Caenorhabditis elegans: one gene and its partners. The protein of the gene in region 1 interacts with the protein of each later gene in a biochemical or structural test. Each region holds a gene or a part of one and is shown on either strand. Other genes may lie near its edges. The genes, in order: wwp-1, cyb-1 and ify-1.

Region 1 (8,405 bases):
GCTGCAAAAACTTTGCCAGCAAAAAATTTTGTGCAAGCACGCTCCATCGCACAGTTTGAACGTCGCGGGTCGAAGTTAGATGTGCAGGTCATATAGCAAAAAGAGAAACACCCCTTTTTTTCTCGAGAAGTTTCACCAATTTTGCGCGATTTTTCAACTATTTTTTTGCTTTTTTGGCTTAATTTTGGCTCAGATTTTCCTCAAAAACATGAAAATCCAATCTAGAATAAGTAGTAATGGGTATATTCTAAGATTGTGCAAAAGTTAGCTTGAATTTCCTCGATTAAAGCTTTCCTACCAAGAAAAATGTGTGGATATTTTGAATTTACAAGTTTTTCATCTTTTTTTTGTAATATTCTCTTTGAAACTCCTGTTTCTCTCAAATTTGTAAACTTTCATAAACGTTTTTTTCAGGGTTACCACATTAAACAATGACCGGAAGCACCGAAACTCGCCAGAAGGAAGTCAAGGAGGTTGGTTGTTCAAAGTGACGTCTAAAATATTTAAATTTCTATATTTCAGCCACAAGTTGACGTTTCGGATGATTCCGACAACGAGGCCGTCGAGCAAGAGCTCACCGAGGAGCAAAGACGTGTGGCCGAGGCTGCTGGACTTGGAGATCACATCGACAAGCAGGCCAAGCAAAGCCGCTCCGAGAAGAAGGCCCGCAAGCTCTTCTCCAAGCTCGGACTCAAGCAAGTGACTGGTGTCTCCCGTGTCTGCATTCGCAAGTCGAAGAACATCCTCTTCGTCATAAACAAGCCAGACGTGTTCAAGAGCCCAGGATCTGACACCTACATCATCTTCGGAGAAGCCAAGATCGAGGATCTCACCCAACACGCCCAGATGTCTGCTATTGAGAACTTGAAGCCAACTCGTGAGGCCCCACAACTCAAGACTGTCGAAGAGGACGAGAATGAGGATGTTGAGGTAATTCAGTAACTTAATCGGATTTATTACATTAATTGTACGGTTTAAGGAGGATTCCACCGGCATTGAGGAGAAGGACATCGAGCTTGTCATTTCCCAAGCCAACACCACCCGCAACAAGGCCATCAGGGCGCTTAAGGAAGCTGACAATGACATCGTCAATGCCATCATGAGCCTTACCATGTAGCTTGTTTCCTGATGACCTTGCAGATACTCTTGTTATCGTTGTATCTCTTGCTTATCCCGTTTTCCGTTCCAAGTAAACGTTTATCAGTCTTTTTTAACTTTTTTGTTATGTTTAAAAAACAATTGCATCTTCGAATTGACCTACCTTTTACAGAAAAGAACAATTAAATCACTGTTTGTGTAAAACACCCCTCTATTGATCGAGAACTTTCACTTCTTCCAATTCTTTACTCGTATGACTGTGATTCATTTCACCTGCTATCACTTTATCATGACATTCCAGTTTATATCAACAGCAAATACCAATTGTGTGTATGTGAAAAATGCTATTGAATAGCAAGCGCGCCCCAACAAACACGTTTGAATGCGCGGGCGAAACGGCGTTAGATGTGCAGGTCATATGACAAAACGCATCGACCAGCAGCCAATGGCAAGTTACTGCGAGCTGTTATAGATTTTTTCACATGGTTTCCAGTGTTATCAGTTGGAAATCGATCGATAATACTGACTAGTAGTACTTAACATCTTCATTCCCACCGTTTCGCTGTCATTTGTGATACGTGGATTTATTTTTCCTTTCTCGCCGACTTTTCATTTCTAAATCTTTTCTGGAATTGCGAAATTTTCAGCCAGTTTCATGATCGAATGGCTCGTAATGAACCATCATCTCAGCAGCCGAGTAGTTCCGGGAGTAATGGAACTCCAGCACAACAAAACGGGTCGGCAAAACCATCAAAAGTCACAGTAAAAGGTAACAATTCGTAGATTTTTTGCATCTGTTCTAATAATATTTCCCCCTCTTAATCATAGTCGTCAACGCGTCGTTCACCAAGGCAGCCGACTGCTATGTCGAAATCACGAGTGACACGTCATCGGCGGCGCCAAAAAAGACGACTGTAAAGAAGAAGACGATGGCGCCCGAGTGGAATGAACATCTCAACGTTCATGCAAATGAATCTTCGACAATTTCGTTTCGTCTATTGCAAAAAGCCAAGCTATTCGATGACACGTGTCTAGGGATGGCGAAGCTGAAGCTTTCGAGTCTCACAAGAAATGAGAATGGAGAGTGTAAGTGGTTTTATTGAAATTTTCTCAAAAAATCTATTATTTCAGTCAAAAACGACATCAACAATATATCTTTGCTGGCCAAAGACTCCTCGAAAATCGGAACTCTCAACATAATTTTCTCCGGATATCCAGAGCGGAAACGAAGAAGCGCAGGAGTACGAGCTGAAACCGCCGCGTCTGCAAGTTCAGAGGCATCCACGTCAAATGGCGTTGCCACGTCATCCTCGGCGCGGAGACCGGCGACAGCGAAGCGTGACACTTTGGCGGCTCCAACGGTAATCGTGACGAGACCCATTTTGAATTATTTAATTATTCATGAAACGCTCTACTGGAGTGTTCATAATTATTAGAGCGCGCTCGCGCGGCACCTCACGAACTCCAGAATTCGCGAGGACAGCAGTTTTTGGCTATTTTGGCTTCTATGGAAATTATTTTTAATTTTTTGATTTAAAATATTGTTGAGAAGCATCATCCAAATTGAAAATGTGTAAAATTATGAAATTTGACCGAAAACTGAAGGTTTTACAGAGAGGAGTCACCACGGCTTTCTTTAAAAAGTATCAGTACCGTCAGTATTTCGATTTCAGAGTCGTAAAATATGTCATTTTGTAGAGAAACGTCTGTTTCACAAAAATCCATGTTTGATATTTTAATTGTTTAATTTCTAATATAAAAATATTCAAAAAATCAACAAGTTTACGTTAAAATCGAATTTTTCAATCGTTCAGTTTTTAATAAGAACAATTTCATAATTTCAAACATGGATTTTTTTGAAACAGACTTTTCTCTACAAAATGACATATTTTACGACTCTGAAATCGAAAAAACTGACGGTACTGATACATTTTAAAGAAAGTCGTGGTGACTCCTCTCTGTAAACCTTCAGTTTTCGTTAAAAATAATTTCCATAGAAGCCAAAAATAGCCAAAAACTGCTGTCCCCGCGAAACGAAATCCCGCGAATTCTGGAGTTCGTGAGGTGCCGCGCGAGCGCGCTCTAATAATTATGAACACTAGAGGAGAGCGTGAATGAGCGTTTTTTATTCTTTTCTCTGCATTTTTAATGCTACAGAATCATACACAAAATGTTGTCAAATACATGCATTACTCTACTACTCTTAATGTTTACTTTTCATTTGCAGAGTACCGCAGCGGCGGCAGCAGCAGCAACAGCAGGCGGCACCCCGGCCGCCGGAGCAGAAGAACAGCTTCCCGATGGATGGGAGATGCGTTTCGATCAATACGGACGCAAGTACTACGTGGATCACACCACCAAGAGCACCACGTGGGAACGCCCGTCTACTCAGCCATTGCCACAGGGATGGGAAATGCGAAGAGATCCGAGAGGAAGAGTGAGTTTTCCGGCGGAAAAAGCAGATTTAGCACGAGAAAAGCGTTTCTGATTATATTTTTGATGCGAAAATCATCAAAATTAAAAATATCTACCGTAGCCGCGGATACCTGGACCAAAATGCCGAAAAAAGTGACCTGATAAATTATTTTAAGGCTAAAATCTTGATTTTTACATAATTAGTGTCTTATTTTTGTTGATTTCTTGTCAAATTTTTGTAATTGCATCGAAATAGGCCAAAAATAAAGTAAAAATCAACTTCCAACACAGAAAAACTGACAAAATTGAAGATTTTTGCTGAATTCAGGCAATTTTTCGTAATTTTGATCCTCCATAATTTTTTTTTTCGAGAAAATTTTGAAATTTTTTCTTTAAATACGGCCTGAAAATTAGGAAATTATAACGACGGATAAAAAATTCTGATTTTCTTTATTTTAACCAAGGTCTCCAATTATTTGATAATCGAAAAAAAAAAAACTTTCCAGTGATTTTTACTTGAAAAATGTCTAAAAATTCACGCCAGGTGCACAATCCATTTTCAGGTGTATTACGTGGATCACAACACGCGCACGACCACCTGGCAACGACCGACAGCCGATATGCTTGAAGCACACGAACAATGGCAATCGGGAAGAGATCAGGCGATGCTTCAATGGGAACAACGTTTCCTTCTCCAGCAGAACAACTTTAGCGCCGACGATCCACTCGGACCATTGCCCGAAGGATGGGAGAAGCGTCAGGATCCGAATACGTCGAGAATGTACTTTGTGAATCATGTAAATAGAACGACACAATGGGAAGATCCGAGAACACAGGGGTATGTGAAAATTTTCAATTTTCCAATAATATTTCTATCAAAAATCACAGTTTTAATGTTTTAAAAGTTTCAGAGGCTCCGACCAACCTCTTCCGGATGGTTGGGAAATGCGATTCACCGAGCAAGGCGTTCCATTCTTCATCGATCACCAGTCTAAAACCACCACCTATAATGATCCAAGAACCGGAAAACCCGTCGGCCCGCTCGGCGTCGTCGGTGTTCAAATGGCCATGGAGAAGAGTTTCCGGTGGAAAATTGCACAATTCAGATATTTATGCTTGGTAAGGGAGGGCGAGAAATTCTTTGATTTTAGCTATAAATTGATGTAAATTTCAGTCAAACAGTGTGCCTAATCATGTCAAAATCACAGTATCCCGTAATAACGTGTTCGAAGACTCATTCCAAGAAATTATGCGTAAAAATGCAGTCGATCTACGCCGGCGGCTGTACATTCAATTCCGAGGCGAAGAGGGTCTCGACTATGGAGGTGTCGCCAGAGAATGGTTCTTCCTGCTGTCGCACGAAGTGTTGAATCCAATGTATTGCCTATTCATGTATGCTGGTAATAACAATTATAGTCTTCAAATCAATCCAGCTTCATTTGTTAACCCGGATCATCTTAAGTATTTCGAGTATATTGGACGATTCATTGCCATGGTGAGTGTTTTTTTTTAATTGAAAATCAGTTGAAAATTGGATGAAAAATTGCGAAATCGAGAGAAAATCGAGTTTTCCGCTTTTTACAATTGAATTTTAAAATTTTAAACGTTAAATTTTGCAGAAAATTCCAAAAAAAAGCACTTGGATCTAAAATTTTTGTTTTTTGATGAAGGAAATCCTTAAATATCGATTTTTTTTATTTTCAGCTCAAAAAACCTGGAAATTTCGATGATCTCAAATTTTCAGATCAATATATTTCATTTTCTCCTAAAAATGTTATTTTTATTTAAACAAATAGTTTTTCTTAGAAAATTCCTTTATTTTCAAATTTCCAGGCGCTATTCCACGGGAAATTCATCTACAGCGGTTTCACGATGCCATTCTACAAAAAGATGCTCAACAAGAAGATTGTTTTAAAGGACATTGAACAAGTCGATTCGGAAATTTATAATTCATTGATGTGGATCAAGGATAACAATATCGATGAATGCGATATGGAGCTCTATTTTGTTGCCGATTACGAGCTGCTCGGCGAGCTCAAGACTTATGAGCTTAAGGAGGGCGGTACAGAGATTGCTGTTACCGAGGAGAATAAGGTGAGATTTTGGATTAGCTAGAGCTTATAAAAATAATTTTTAAATAAAATAATTTAATTTAAAAAATCCCAATTTTCCAGCTTGAATACATCGAACTGCTCGTTGAGTGGCGCTTCAATCGCGGTGTCGAACAACAGACAAAAGCCTTCTTCACCGGCTTCAACTCGGTCTTCCCGTTGGAATGGATGCAGTATTTCGATGAAAGAGAGCTCGAGCTGTTGCTCTGCGGAATGCAGGACGTTGATGTGGACGATTGGCAGAGAAATACTGTCTACAGACATTATGCTCCACAGAGCAAGCAGGTAGGGGAGAACATTTGATTAAAACTTCTTTTTTTTTAATTAAAAAATACATTTATAGGTAACCTGGTTCTGGCAATGGGTTCGAAGTCTGGACCAAGAAAAACGTGCCCGGCTCCTACAATTCGTCACAGGAACGTGCCGTGTGCCAGTCGGTGGATTTTCCGAGCTGATGGGCTCGACGGGACCACAACTATTCTGTATCGAGCGTGTCGGCAAGGAGAACTGGCTCCCACGGTCGCATACGTGCTTCAATCGACTCGACTTGCCGCCATACAGAAGCTACGATCAGCTCGTCGAGAAGTTGAGCATGGCGATCGAGATGACGGAAGGATTTGGAAACGAGTAGTCTCCCGTTGTTTTTTTTTGGTTTTGCTGGCCGCCTAATTATTGTATAACCCTCATATTTCTTCTCACCCACACCCCATTGATTTTCCTTTTTTTTCTCTCCATCAATTAATGTTTCTTTTTTTCGAATTTGTGTGATAATTTTCGTGTTGTGATACCACTTGCTTAGGTTCTCTCTCTCTCTTTCCTTTCCTTCTGGGTATGTACCTATATTTAGAATATAGACAAAGCATCTAGTTTTTTTGGATTTAATTTCCAAATTTCCCGTTTAATTCCAACAACAAAAAAACAATTCCACCACTTTTCAAATATTTTTTTTGTGTCCATTGCTTCATTGCTTTTCTTCTTCTCAACCATTTCAACCACCACCACCCAATCTGCGCCTTATTCTTACTTGGTCCTTGTCATTCTTAGTTCCAGTTTTTTTCACGGAAGCAGCTCTCGATTATTAATTCAAATGCATCCCCCCAACCAATCCGTCACCCCCCGATTAGAACAATTTCTACTTTTTTTTTTGAAAACAAAAAAAAACACAATTCCTCGATTTGGTTGTAATGAATTTAATTTTTTAAATTTTGAGCCTTTTTTGTTGTTTTAGGTTTTCTTAACTTTCAGAATTTCCATGCGGAACACACGGAGAGCAGAAGATCAATATTTTGAACCCTGCAGGAGAAGGACGGGACCCTTTGGTCACTCATGTCTCGGCTGTCTGCGTCTCTCCTCTCTCTCTGCACCAGCGGAGAGGATGGATAGCCTCATTCGTTTTATTTCGGACTTTCGATTTTTCTTATTGCTCCACGTTTTAGCTTTTATCAGATTCGGGGAGCTCTTGCTTTTTTCTTGATTTTTTCGTAAAGTGTTCTTGGGTCCCGCAGCGAAAATTAACTTTAAAATGATTTTTTAAAAACTTTCTAAAAATTCATTTTTTTTTCCATTTTACGACTAGAAATTTCGAAATTTGAAAAAAAAAACCGTGTTGCAAATGCGCTCCAGCGTACAAAACAAAACCGCCACCAAAAAATTTAAATTACTGAAAAAAACGATGAAATTTTGAATTTGTTTTGCCATTTTCCGGCAATGATTTTTTAAATAAAAAAAACTGTACAACAAATGCGCTCCAGCGAACTAACCTTCAAATTACCGAAAAAAATTATAAAAATTTGAATATTTCCGATTAACCCAAGAAAAGAAAAATTCAATGATTTTCTTGAAAAAAGTTATTTTTTTCTCAATTTTTCGTCAATAATACTCAAAATTTGAAGAAAAATTGTGTAGCAAGCGCGCTCTAGCGAACCAAACAAAATGTCTCCATTGAAGCGTTTCACGAGGTTCTGGCCTACCTCATTGAATTTTTCGCGCTCCATTGACAATCGCCCGCCGATAACGCGTGGGAAAGTCGTGTACTCCACACGGACAAATACATTTAGTTTTACTACAAATATCGAGCCGCGACGCGACACGCAACGCGCCGTAAATCTACCCCAGATATGGCCGAGCCAAAATGGCCTAGTTCGGCAAAAACTCTTCCATTTCAATTCATGAGGGAAGCCAGAAATCCGTGATCCAAGTAAAAAAAATCCCAAAAATTTCAATTTGCAAGGGCGCTCCATTGAAAACTGTGGCGCCGATCGCAACTCACGGTCGAATTTGAATTTTTAGTTGAAAAAAAAACACCAATTTGAACTGAAAATTTGAATTTTCAATTTTTTCCCTAAAATAAATTGTTCAGAGTTTCGCTGTCGAATTGTTGATACCCGCTCGTCAGAATTGGAAATTGAGAAATTGAGAGAGAATTAGAGAAGGAGAGGAAGAGGAACTGCTCACTGGTCCCCTCACTCCATCCGAAATTAGGCACTTTTTGCTCCGGCGGCACTAGAAGACGAAGAAAAAACGACGAGCAGAACACAATCAATTTCGTCTTCTTTTTTATTTTTTTTTGGTTTTTTCTTGTTGGTACCACGGATTTCTGGCTTCCCTCATAAATTGAAATGGAAGAGTTTTTGCCGAAATAGGCCATTTTGGCTCGGCCATATCTGGGGTAGACTAACGGCGCGTTGCGTGTCGCGTCGCGGCTCGATTTTAGTTGTAAAACTAAATGTGATTTGTCCGTGTGGAGTACACGACTTTCCCACGCGTTGTCCGGCGGCCGAT
Region 2 (5,310 bases), on another chromosome or scaffold:
ATGATTATTTAGCTGTACGGTATTGAATGTGGGATCTCGTATAAAATAACTAAGTAATCATGTAATTTATTTCATAGTTGGTGAGAAGAAAGTGAGATAATTGTACCCGGCAGTTGAAATTTTCAGGTGGCGTGTTCAAGATAATTCCGCAGCTCCAAATTGAGTGACCTGCAAAAATAAAAATTGCACGAAAAAAAAGACTACATAATCGAGTTTGTTTATTTCGTTATTGTTTTCTCAAACAAAACAGTAAAAATATATGACAGGGTATTTTTTATTTTTCAATATCAGTCCTATTTTATTTCCTTTTTTACCTGGATATTTTGAGAGCGCTCTCCAACGAAATTAGACACTTGATCTTCGGAATATCGAGATTGCTTCGATTTGTTACTGACACGAGCCCCATTGAATCGAGAGATGCGATCTGGAACCTTTGGATGAGAAATTTTTCTAGGCGAAATGAAGAGAATGTATAGTGCAACATACAACACTTTTGAGATCAAATCCTGTAATAGTCGATTCATTGATTTTGAGAAGCGTTTCGTAAATACAAATTATTCTTTGAAGATCTGCAGCTTTTGGACCGAGATCTTTGGCAAGTCGATTTTCTTCTAAACGCAGCTCTTTCTTTTCTGATCTCTTTTCTCGGCCGTGGTTCTGAAAAAAACGGAAAATTATTATTTCTGGAATAAATTATGTGCAACCTTTACGAAAAATCGGCAGTCTGATTGATGAGGATTATTGCTGGCACAGTATGCGGCTATGAGAAGATATCTGAAATAAAAATTTACTGGAATTTCTGGAAGAACTACATATTTTCTGTTGAGTATTTTTAGATACCTCATGGCGAGCGGCATGGCATCAAAACTGTTCTCGTTCTCCTTGGCCAGATTCTCTCCGACAACATTCCCGAGCTTTTCTCCAGATGATCTATTGAGGCATTCTTTTGCCAGTGTAGAGTCGAATTTATCGCCGGTTCTCCGCTCATCATACATTAGCCACGCATCAGATATCTGGAATTGTAGTGATGGATTTAACATTGTTTTTAAAAAACTTACAATTGATAGAAGAATATTCGGTGACTTGCAGGCCATGAACAGTGACTGGCAAGCAACGTGAAGAAATTGCGCGTTGATTTTTGGATTTGCACGAGAAATAAGAACTTTGGTAGTTTCTACTGATGGTGCAGGTATGTGAAACTCTACAACTGGAAGATGGCTCAGATTAATGTGATATTGGTTCAAGCAGGATGGTGCACTCGTCACAAATCGAATCGTTATTTCTTGTATAGCTTTGTAAGAATCGAATAAGCATTGTAATGGAACAGGAGGATAGTCTGTTATCGCTTGTGCATTATCAAGAAAAATGACAATTTTTCTATTAGTTTCGTCTGGCCTGAAAATATTTAAAATTTAATTAACAAGAAAATACACTTACCATTGGACATATTTATACAGGTTATCGCAAAAATTCTCAGCTCTGTCACCTCTAGTCTTGAAACCTAAACTCGATGCCAGTGAATCGAATAACAATTTCAGCGATCCATCCGCATAGAGGAAGTCTCCAAGCACACAAACCTATAAAAATAGATTGTGAATTTTGAAATTGTTTGAAATTTTTAATTGTTTTGAAATTGAAGTTGTAAAACACGAACCCAATCGTTTTCAGGTTTTCTCAGAAGTTGACGAACAATTTCACTTCTTCCGCTTCCATCTTCTCCGAAAATGTGGACATGAGAAATAATTCGCGAGTTGTTAAATAAGAGCATTTTTAGACGTCTTATCTCACAATTTTCCATTTTGCTAAAAATAAAAAACTATGATATGGATAAAATGACTGATTTTTCAGCCTTGAAATAAAAACAAAAAAAACTTTCTTCCAGTAAAAACTGTTTTCAAGTTGGCGGGTATTCAATGGAGCAGGTTTACTTGGCTAAACTAAGCGCGATGCGAAATAACGGAGTGTCGTATTGCAGCGCGAACCTTGAAAATAAAATCATTTGCTCTTGAAACTTTGCGATTATTAAAGTTTTGATCGGATCTCCCTCAATTTTTCGGCGCCAAGAATTTATTTTTTGCAAAAACCTTCAATGGAACGATTATTTTCCAACGCAGGTTTCCCTATTTGAATCTTTGCCACATAGACCGGTTCATTTTATTCATTATTCGATTCTTGAACAAAAACAATCTTTTTTTCTTTGGCTTATCGTTATCAAATACCTAACTTTGGAGCTTTATTAATATTCTAGGTTCATTTGTAATTCATCTTTTAACGTCTGTTCTTCATTCATCCTAGGTGACATATTTAATCGATATTACCCTTCGCGATTCCCCCCTCCTACCACCAAGCACCATCTTGGTGTGGGGGAGTTGCGCTCCGTTGGACAATCGCTGCACGCGGAACATTCGAATCCCATTTGTCGATATTCTTGTATTTAGTGCAAACAATTCTTAATAGGCTCCTCACGTGACCTTAACATGTTCGCCGTGTAGAAACTATTTACACGTTGTGTTCTATTTAGATAAAATCATAACCTTTCTGTCAGATTTTGTAAAACGTCCAGTATTTCTCAACTTACCAATTTTCTACTAGCAATCAAAGGTTCTTTCTCACTTTTTATTTTATTATCTCTTGGAACTTGCAAACAATCGTTTATTGCAGCGAAAGGCCTCAATATGCTAAGAGCCACCAACAACAGACGAACATCGAATAATGTGGAAAAGGATAGCCTCCAGGTACAAGGTGTTTACAAACTAAAAACTATAATTATCATTCAGATGGCTAAGCACGGAAACGGACCATTGAAGCCCGTCAATGCGCAAGGTCTTCAGACGAAAAGAGAAGCTCGAGAGATTCTTGCACTCAAGCCATCCAATCCAGCTCCAGTCGAAACTGCGCAAAAGTCACAGAGAATCAACCTCCAGGATGCTGAGACTAAATGTCTTGCTATGGCCGACGACATATACAAGTATCTCGTTCATCACGAGAAAAAGTATCTTCTTGAGGAGTGCTTCATGGAGGGAGGAGAGCCCACTCCCAAGATGCGTCGCATTCTCGTCGATTGGCTTGTCCAAGTTCATGTTCGATTCCATCTCACACCTGAGACACTTCACTTGACTGTCTTCATTCTGGATCGCATGCTTCAGAAGAAGGTCACCTCCAAGGCGGATCTTCAGCTTCTTGGAATTTCAGCTATGTGAGAGTTTTTATTCAATTTTAAAACGTAACATATAGGGATTACTAATTGTGTATCCTTTAAAAATGTTTTGTTTCAGGTTCGTTGCCTCCAAGTTCGAAGAGGTTTACCTCCCAGACATCCACGACTACGAGTTCATCACTGAGAACACATACAGCAAGAAGCAGATCTTGGCAATGGAGCAAACAATCCTTAACTCGTTGAACTTTGACTTGTCCTGCCCATCTTCGCTTGTCTTCCTCCGCTGTCTCTCAAGAATTCTCTCCGAAAACGATGCCAGCCCAATCGATAATCAAGCTTTCTGTTATACTTACAATATCTCCAAGTGTCTCGGAGAGCTCGCACTGCTCGATTCGGTTATGGCCTCGACCCCAAGGTCCCACATTGCTTCTGCTTCGATGATCATCGCTCTTGAAGTTCATCCTGTTGACGGAATCGAGGCGGAGAATGCTGTATCGGTCATTTGGTACATTTTAAAGCTTATATTTTTATTTTAATATCAACATTTTTAGCAAACAGCTCGGAGCCTCTAAGAAAGTCATTGAGGATGCTGTCGCTTTGCTCGCCGAAGTCTCGTATAAGAACTTCAAACAGGGGAAGCTTGTCGCTATTAAGGTATTGAATCATCGAAGTATTCCAATAAACATAATTATTTGCAGAATAAGTATCAATCAAGCAAGCTTGCACAAGTTTCCAACTTGATGACCGACGACGTACTCGAGAAAATCAATCGGATGGGCCAGAATGCAAAAGTGGACGCATCAGAAATGGAATGAGCACTTCGATCCGAAATAAACATTTTGTACCATTCAGTCTTTCTTGATTCTTATGTTTCTTCCTTCATTGCTTTTCTTTTCGGCTCCTTTCCATTTTTTAACTCCTCCAGTCGTTTCCACGTCAATCTGGTCACACCCGTACATTGATTGTAAATTGGTGAACATTCGTTGAGCGACCATACACCACCTCCCATATTATTCAATTTGTCCATTTTGAAATTTAAAATTTCACTAAAAATTTTTATCACAACTTTTCGCGCCCTCTTTTGTATCGATCTCGTATTTAATTATTGAAACCACACTGCTGTAAGACTCACCGTCCTCATCTCTGTTGTTGTAACTAGAAGGACCAAAAACTTTCTGATGAAACCTATGTGCTATTAAATTTTGTTAAATGGAATTACTATAAATCATGTACTAAATAAGTGATGGAGTAGTCTGAAGGTTCTAGGGGGTCTCCTGCGCAATGACGCGACGAACTTAAACCAGTCAACAAGCATAAAAACAAGTAGGCTCCACCCACTTTAACCTTGAATTCTGTGTGCCGAACCCGGGGTCAAGTGGCTTTTCGGCCAATTACTCATCGGTTTGTTACAGCACTGGCGGTCACTTCTCGCCGAATTTTCTCAAAATGTGTAATAATGAAGCTGCAATTTCTCTGCGTATCAATCTCTAACGCTCTGCTGTAATGACTACAAAAGTGACCATCGAAAACGAGAATTTCATACATTCCACTCGAAATGGTTCATTCATCAGTTCTAATTGTTCTTTCACTGACTGCTTCTTCATCTGCATTCCTTCTAGAAGGACTCGGTTTAGGATTAGGTCCACAAAGACCTCAACAATGCTGCTGTCCACCACCTCCACCACCTCCACCATGCGGAGGCGGATATGAAGCTCCACCTCCACCACCACCACCATCATATGCGGGTGGACCATCATACGCTGGACCATCTTATGCTGGATCCTACGGACCAGGACCATACAGAGCCAAGTCAAAGAGATCAGTTGACATGAAAGCTTCAAGTGGAGATTTGTTCTGTAATAGTGTTGAAGTTAGAGATATTATCAAGAAGGTATTGCATTTGAAAGTAACTAGTCTATATTGAACATTTTCAGGGAATGACATCAGGTGAGAAGGAGTCACGTGAAACAATCACTGCTCTCCTGAAAACTGAAATGAACCGTGAATATGTTGTGATCTGCACAAAGCAGCCATTCGAATACCTCGCTTCTTCCGATTCAGAGTTCTGCTCAGTGACAAATGATTCAGGAATCACTTGCTCTTCTTTCGTATTCTAGATGCTCAAGCTCTATGTACAATTACTATACGGAATC
Region 3 (4,468 bases), on another chromosome or scaffold:
ATCAATTCTGCTATCTCGAACATGCTGGGCATGTTCTCCAGTTCCGTATCCCGACCAGGTCGGTTTTTTGTGTACGCACAAGTTCCCCGAATACTTGTCGGCCGCCATAGCTCAGTCGGTTAGAGCGTGGGTCTAATAAGCCCAAGGTCGCAGGTTCGACCCCTGCTGGCGGCAAAATTTTTTTTTTAATTTACAATGACTTTTGTAGTTTTGGCATTCCAGGTATCGACTATCCTGATATAGAAGGATGGCCACGTGGTTTTATGCCTGTACCAATTCATAGTGCTGGGCCGGCTGGTCAAGATTGTGTTGCTAGTGCATTTTGTATTTGTAGGCGCAGAGATGAACTTCTGAAAATAGCACACGAGGGAGAACAGTTTCAGAGTTATGTACAATCTGAAAAGGTATGAGAAGTGAAACCAGTTATAATTTAAAAATTTAATTCCAGTATGTGAACACAACTTTATTATTGTCTGAACTATTTAATCAAACATTTACATGGGATAACATGTGGCAAGTTCATGATGCTGTTATGATTCAAGTACTTGGTCTACTTAATTTTAAAACCTTTTAAAATTTAATTTTCAGAAAATTCACTTTCCAGAATCTGTACTAAATCAAACATGGTATTCTGATGAATTCTTTGAGAATCTTGACGATTTAGAAAGACCTTCAAAAGCATTCGTTACGGGACTTTATGATCCGCCAATTGTTCAAGGCATCAATGTACGAAGAGAAATCTTAAAAACACGGGGTGGCCCAATGATAAACGATATATCTGCAAGAATGAGAACGAAAGCAACTTGTGCTAAAAATGAAGCCAAATGTGACAATTATCACAAAAATCTGAAATACTACGCTTACTCTACAGTAATCACAACTCCTCTGTACTTGTATAATAGAATCATTTTAATTTCAGCATGATCACACAGTATTCGCTCTCCTCGCTGTGTTAGGAATTGAGGATATTGTTGCAGGACCTGAGAAATATGGCGAGTGGCCTGACTATGCTTCAGATATCGCGATCGAACTGTTCCATAATAAAACGGACGAGAAGCCCTATTTCAGAGTATGTTTCGATTCATAATGCCATCTCATCGCATAATTGCAGGTGCTGTATCAGAAAAATGTTCATTCAACTTTCGAAACTGTCACGTCGAGAATCAAGGGATGCCGAGGAGAACAGTTCTGCGACATGCGAACATTCGAAAACAAAGCAAAGGAATCCCGGCCAGACCGACCCATCCACGAGTTCTGCGAAATACCACCAGGGGAGGATAACAGAGTTACAACCTGGATAAGAAAATTTTTGCATCAAAATTCCGATTTCGAATCATCTTCACCACTCATTCCCTACTGGTACTCGATAATAATCATATTGCTGTTTTTCTAATGAAGCCTGATTTGAAACAACAATTTATTCCAACAACAAAAAACCGAGTTTACTCGTGGTCGCTTCCTGCGTCCTCTCCGTCGTTGATGTGGAAGTATCTGACCTCGTAGGTGTTCTTGTTGACAGCGACCACACGGAGCCAATCACGGAGGGAGTTTCTCTTGAGGTACTTCTTGGTAAGGTACTTGAGGTATCTGAATATAAAAATATGAGAACAAGTTTGATTGAATAAAATGCTACCTCTTCGAGAATGGGACCTCGGAGACGACTGAGACCTTGGACTTGGCGACCTCGACCTTGACGTTGTTAGCGGCCAAATGTCCGGTCTTTCCATTGACCTTGATCTTCTCGTTCAAGAAGGCTTCCTGAAAACAACCGGGACTTACTAGGGACCAATATATACCCTAAGCCTGGTCTTGCGATAGAGACGGGAACTCTATCGACTTGATGAGGCTGATTAATTTTAAAAAGCCTACAACTTACAAGATCTTCGATTCTGAGAATTCCATCCTCAACTGGGTTCTTGCACTCAACGTTGAACTTGAGGTGCACCTTCTTCTTGCGAAGAGCCTTCTTGGCCGACTTGGCGTGTGGCTTTGGGACCATGATTACCTGAAAGTAAAAATTGAGATCTTACAAAATATTATCGGCATCTTCAGGAATAAACGATCATGAAAATAACAAAAAACGATTTCGAAAGCTACACAATATTAAATTGTTTTAAATCTGCTGAAAAAAGCTTGCGTGAAGGTAAAACCCAGAAAAGAAGCAAATTTAGGCCGAGAACTCTACTCATTTTCCAAGTCGGCGTCCCAACACGACAATAACTACGGTCACACTCGTTTCAGCTGTGCGTACCTCCCTCTTATGCATCTGCGCTCTATGGCACTTCGAAGACGCCGGCTAGTTTAAATCATTGATTTTTCCTTTTCACATTTTGTTTCCATCTTTTTGCGGCAAAACGTGAACAATTTAAATTCTTTTGCATCATCGAAACAATTTTTGTATTCATTCCTACTAATTGAAAACTGGCATTCGTACTTTCTAGCTATTCATACTCGCACAAGTCAAAATGGAGGATCTAAACTTCGAAGAAAGAGGAAGCACCCAGATACCAGCCTCCTTGCAACAACACTTCAGTAAGTTTTATTTTAATATATTTATTTTACTTATAACGTCTTTGTTTTAGGTGCAAAGCTAGGCAGACAAAATGAACTTGAAAAGACACCTTCTCGTGGCGGTTTGGGGCTGGTTGTAAACTCGTCAAAAACTCCTGGCGGAAAATCGCTTCAGAGCTTGGCATCGGCTTGTAAAGTGCCACCTTCAACCAAGAAGAACACTATTCCAATTGCTTTTGAATGTTATGAAGATGAGACAGATGATCAGATTGCCGATGTGGCCACCATTAAAAAGGTGATGTTTTCTTCCAGCATAATTATTAAAAGAAAAGAAAACTACGGAAGTTTTAATCTTAAAACAATTAAAAGTATTGCTTCATAATTTTTATTTTCATCATTTTCTAGACCGAAAAACATCCATGCTCTCCAATCGACACTGCAAACCGATGTGAAACATTCGATTCGCTAGCTGCTGACATTGAGGACGATATGCTTAATTTGGAAGATCAAGACGTCGTACTTTCTGAAGATCGGCCATATGGAGACGTTATCGATCCGGCAGAGTCTGAAGCAGAAGCTCTTGCTGAATTGGGAGTCGAGGAATGGGACTCATATCCACCAATTGATCCAGCTTCAAGAATTGGCGACGATTTCAATTATGTGCTCAGAACAGAGGATTTCGCGGAAGAAGGTGATGTGAAACTCGAAGAAACTCGCCATCGGACTGTTATTGCTGATATTGATGAAGTGAAAATGAGTAAGGCTGAAAGAAATGAACTCTTTTCGATGCTTGCGGACGATTTGGATAGTTACGACCTCCTCGCCGAAGAAGCCAACCTTCCCCTGTGATTTCCCACGACGTCAGCCTCTTCTACCTGTTTTACATATATTGGCGAAATCACCCTCGCCCCACAATCATTCCCCCCACTGGTAATTTTCTATGTCCATTCTCTGAACAATGAAACGGTATATCAATGTATTTTATAACTGTTTCAGATGTTTTTGTCTTATAAAAAGTTTTCCAGGAGCTTTTCCCGAAAAATATGTACGGAAAGACGTTTGATGTCTACTATGAAAAGACATAGAAAAAATTCGCGAAGCATTTTTGGAATTTGTTTGAATTAATCTAATATTCCAGGTGTTGGATTGAAGTATTTATTTGACAGAAATTCGACATTTACCGAGGCAAAAACGATTGAGAGGAAATTTGTTTCAAATTATTTAATTCACTCGTAAGCGAAAAAACGGATGTTTTCCGTTTCGAAAGAAATGAATACAAGAAAAGACAAATTTGGCAAAAATTGTAATTTTCTTTCCTATAAATGAATGACTGCGCAGTGATAAAATATCGAAAAGATCGGGTGAAAAACATGGAAGCAAATTATATTCATCGGGATAGCAAAATCTCAGTGGTAGGATAAGTATGGAAATATACATTTGACGAGGTGTTTAGACATTGGTGGCTTTCATTGAGATTTTCATAGTGGATTGGTCAACATTGGATAATGTACGATTCGATCCCAACATGCTTCTGATTCGTTGGCGAAGTGTGTTACGATCGGCATTTGCGGAACTCAAGCTGACATCACCTCTGAAAAAATTAAACTTTGTTTGGAATTTTCAAAATTAAAATGCAAGAAAACCTTATGTCGTCAGCAGTTTTTTGATCTTCTTTCTTGGTCACAAGCTTCTTGAGCCATTGGACATCAACTCCCAAAGTATGACGTCCCATGGATCCTCTGCCATGCTTCTTCCTACGTTTTCCAGAATCTCTTGAGCTTATCTGAACTTGAAAAGTGAGAAAAAATCCAATAATATGGAAATGTTGTAAAATGTTTTGAAATCGATTTGGAAACGTGCTCAACTGCCAATTGAAAACGCTCCGCCACCAACAGTTGGGTCTTGTTAGGTAAACCGTAAACACAAATGTTTTCAAGTAGTTTCGCAGAGTGTTTGA

Evidence for each region.
Region 2: of the proteins of wwp-1 (region 1) and cyb-1, one has a biochemical effect on the other in vitro, tested with the Caenorhabditis elegans proteins (one study listed by BioGRID).
Region 3: of the proteins of wwp-1 (region 1) and ify-1, one has a biochemical effect on the other in vitro, tested with the Caenorhabditis elegans proteins (one study listed by BioGRID).

The regions. Positions count from the first base shown.
Region 1 is NC_003279.8:535,377-543,781, forward strand, and holds wwp-1 (E3 ubiquitin-protein ligase wwp-1), read left to right. Parts: upstream 1-1,745; 5' UTR 1,746-1,761; coding exon 1,762-1,867; intron 1,868-1,926; coding exon 1,927-2,184; intron 2,185-2,229; coding exon 2,230-2,459; intron 2,460-3,325; coding exon 3,326-3,535; intron 3,536-3,709; exon of another isoform or gene 3,710-3,866; intron 3,867-4,076; coding exon 4,077-4,351; intron 4,352-4,418; coding exon 4,419-4,632; intron 4,633-4,687; coding exon 4,688-5,008; intron 5,009-5,346; coding exon 5,347-5,607; intron 5,608-5,687; coding exon 5,688-5,909; intron 5,910-5,967; coding exon 5,968-6,255; 3' UTR 6,256-6,822; downstream 6,823-8,405. Other genes in the region: icd-2 (Nascent polypeptide-associated complex subunit alpha), read left to right, coding at 432-473, 523-930, 980-1,117. UniProt on the Caenorhabditis elegans protein: E3 ubiquitin-protein ligase which accepts ubiquitin from an E2 ubiquitin-conjugating enzyme in the form of a thioester and then directly transfers the ubiquitin to targeted substrates. Ubiquitinates klf-1.
Region 2 is NC_003282.8:10,732,781-10,738,090, forward strand, and holds cyb-1 (G2/mitotic-specific cyclin-B1), read left to right. Parts: upstream 1-2,661; 5' UTR 2,662-2,675; coding exon 2,676-2,735; intron 2,736-2,777; coding exon 2,778-3,196; intron 3,197-3,275; coding exon 3,276-3,662; intron 3,663-3,708; coding exon 3,709-3,811; intron 3,812-3,855; coding exon 3,856-3,972; 3' UTR 3,973-4,393; downstream 4,394-5,310. Other genes in the region: orc-5 (Origin recognition complex subunit 5 C-terminal domain-containing protein), read right to left, coding at 123-168, 315-424, 487-657, 705-774, 841-1,013, 1,059-1,395, 1,438-1,577, 1,655-1,798; grl-21 (Ground-like domain-containing protein), read left to right, coding at 4,713-5,048, 5,092-5,274. UniProt on the Caenorhabditis elegans protein: Essential for the control of the cell cycle at the G2/M (mitosis) transition.
Region 3 is NC_003280.10:5,053,153-5,057,620, reverse strand, and holds ify-1 (Securin-like protein), read left to right. Parts: upstream 1-2,441; 5' UTR 2,442-2,465; coding exon 2,466-2,532; intron 2,533-2,582; coding exon 2,583-2,806; intron 2,807-2,916; coding exon 2,917-3,360; 3' UTR 3,361-3,486; downstream 3,487-4,468. Other genes in the region: C27A2.12 (Histidine acid phosphatase), read left to right, coding at 1-58, 223-404, 449-541, 589-870, 920-1,069, 1,112-1,393; rpl-22 (Large ribosomal subunit protein eL22), read right to left, coding at 1,443-1,587, 1,634-1,758, 1,877-1,999; F33G12.6 (PPM-type phosphatase domain-containing protein), read right to left, coding at 3,961-4,102, 4,155-4,294. UniProt on the Caenorhabditis elegans protein: Acts as a chaperone and as an inhibitor for separase sep-1. Plays an essential role in maintaining chromosome cohesion prior to meiotic and mitotic anaphase, in cytokinesis and in organizing the spindle and the centrosome.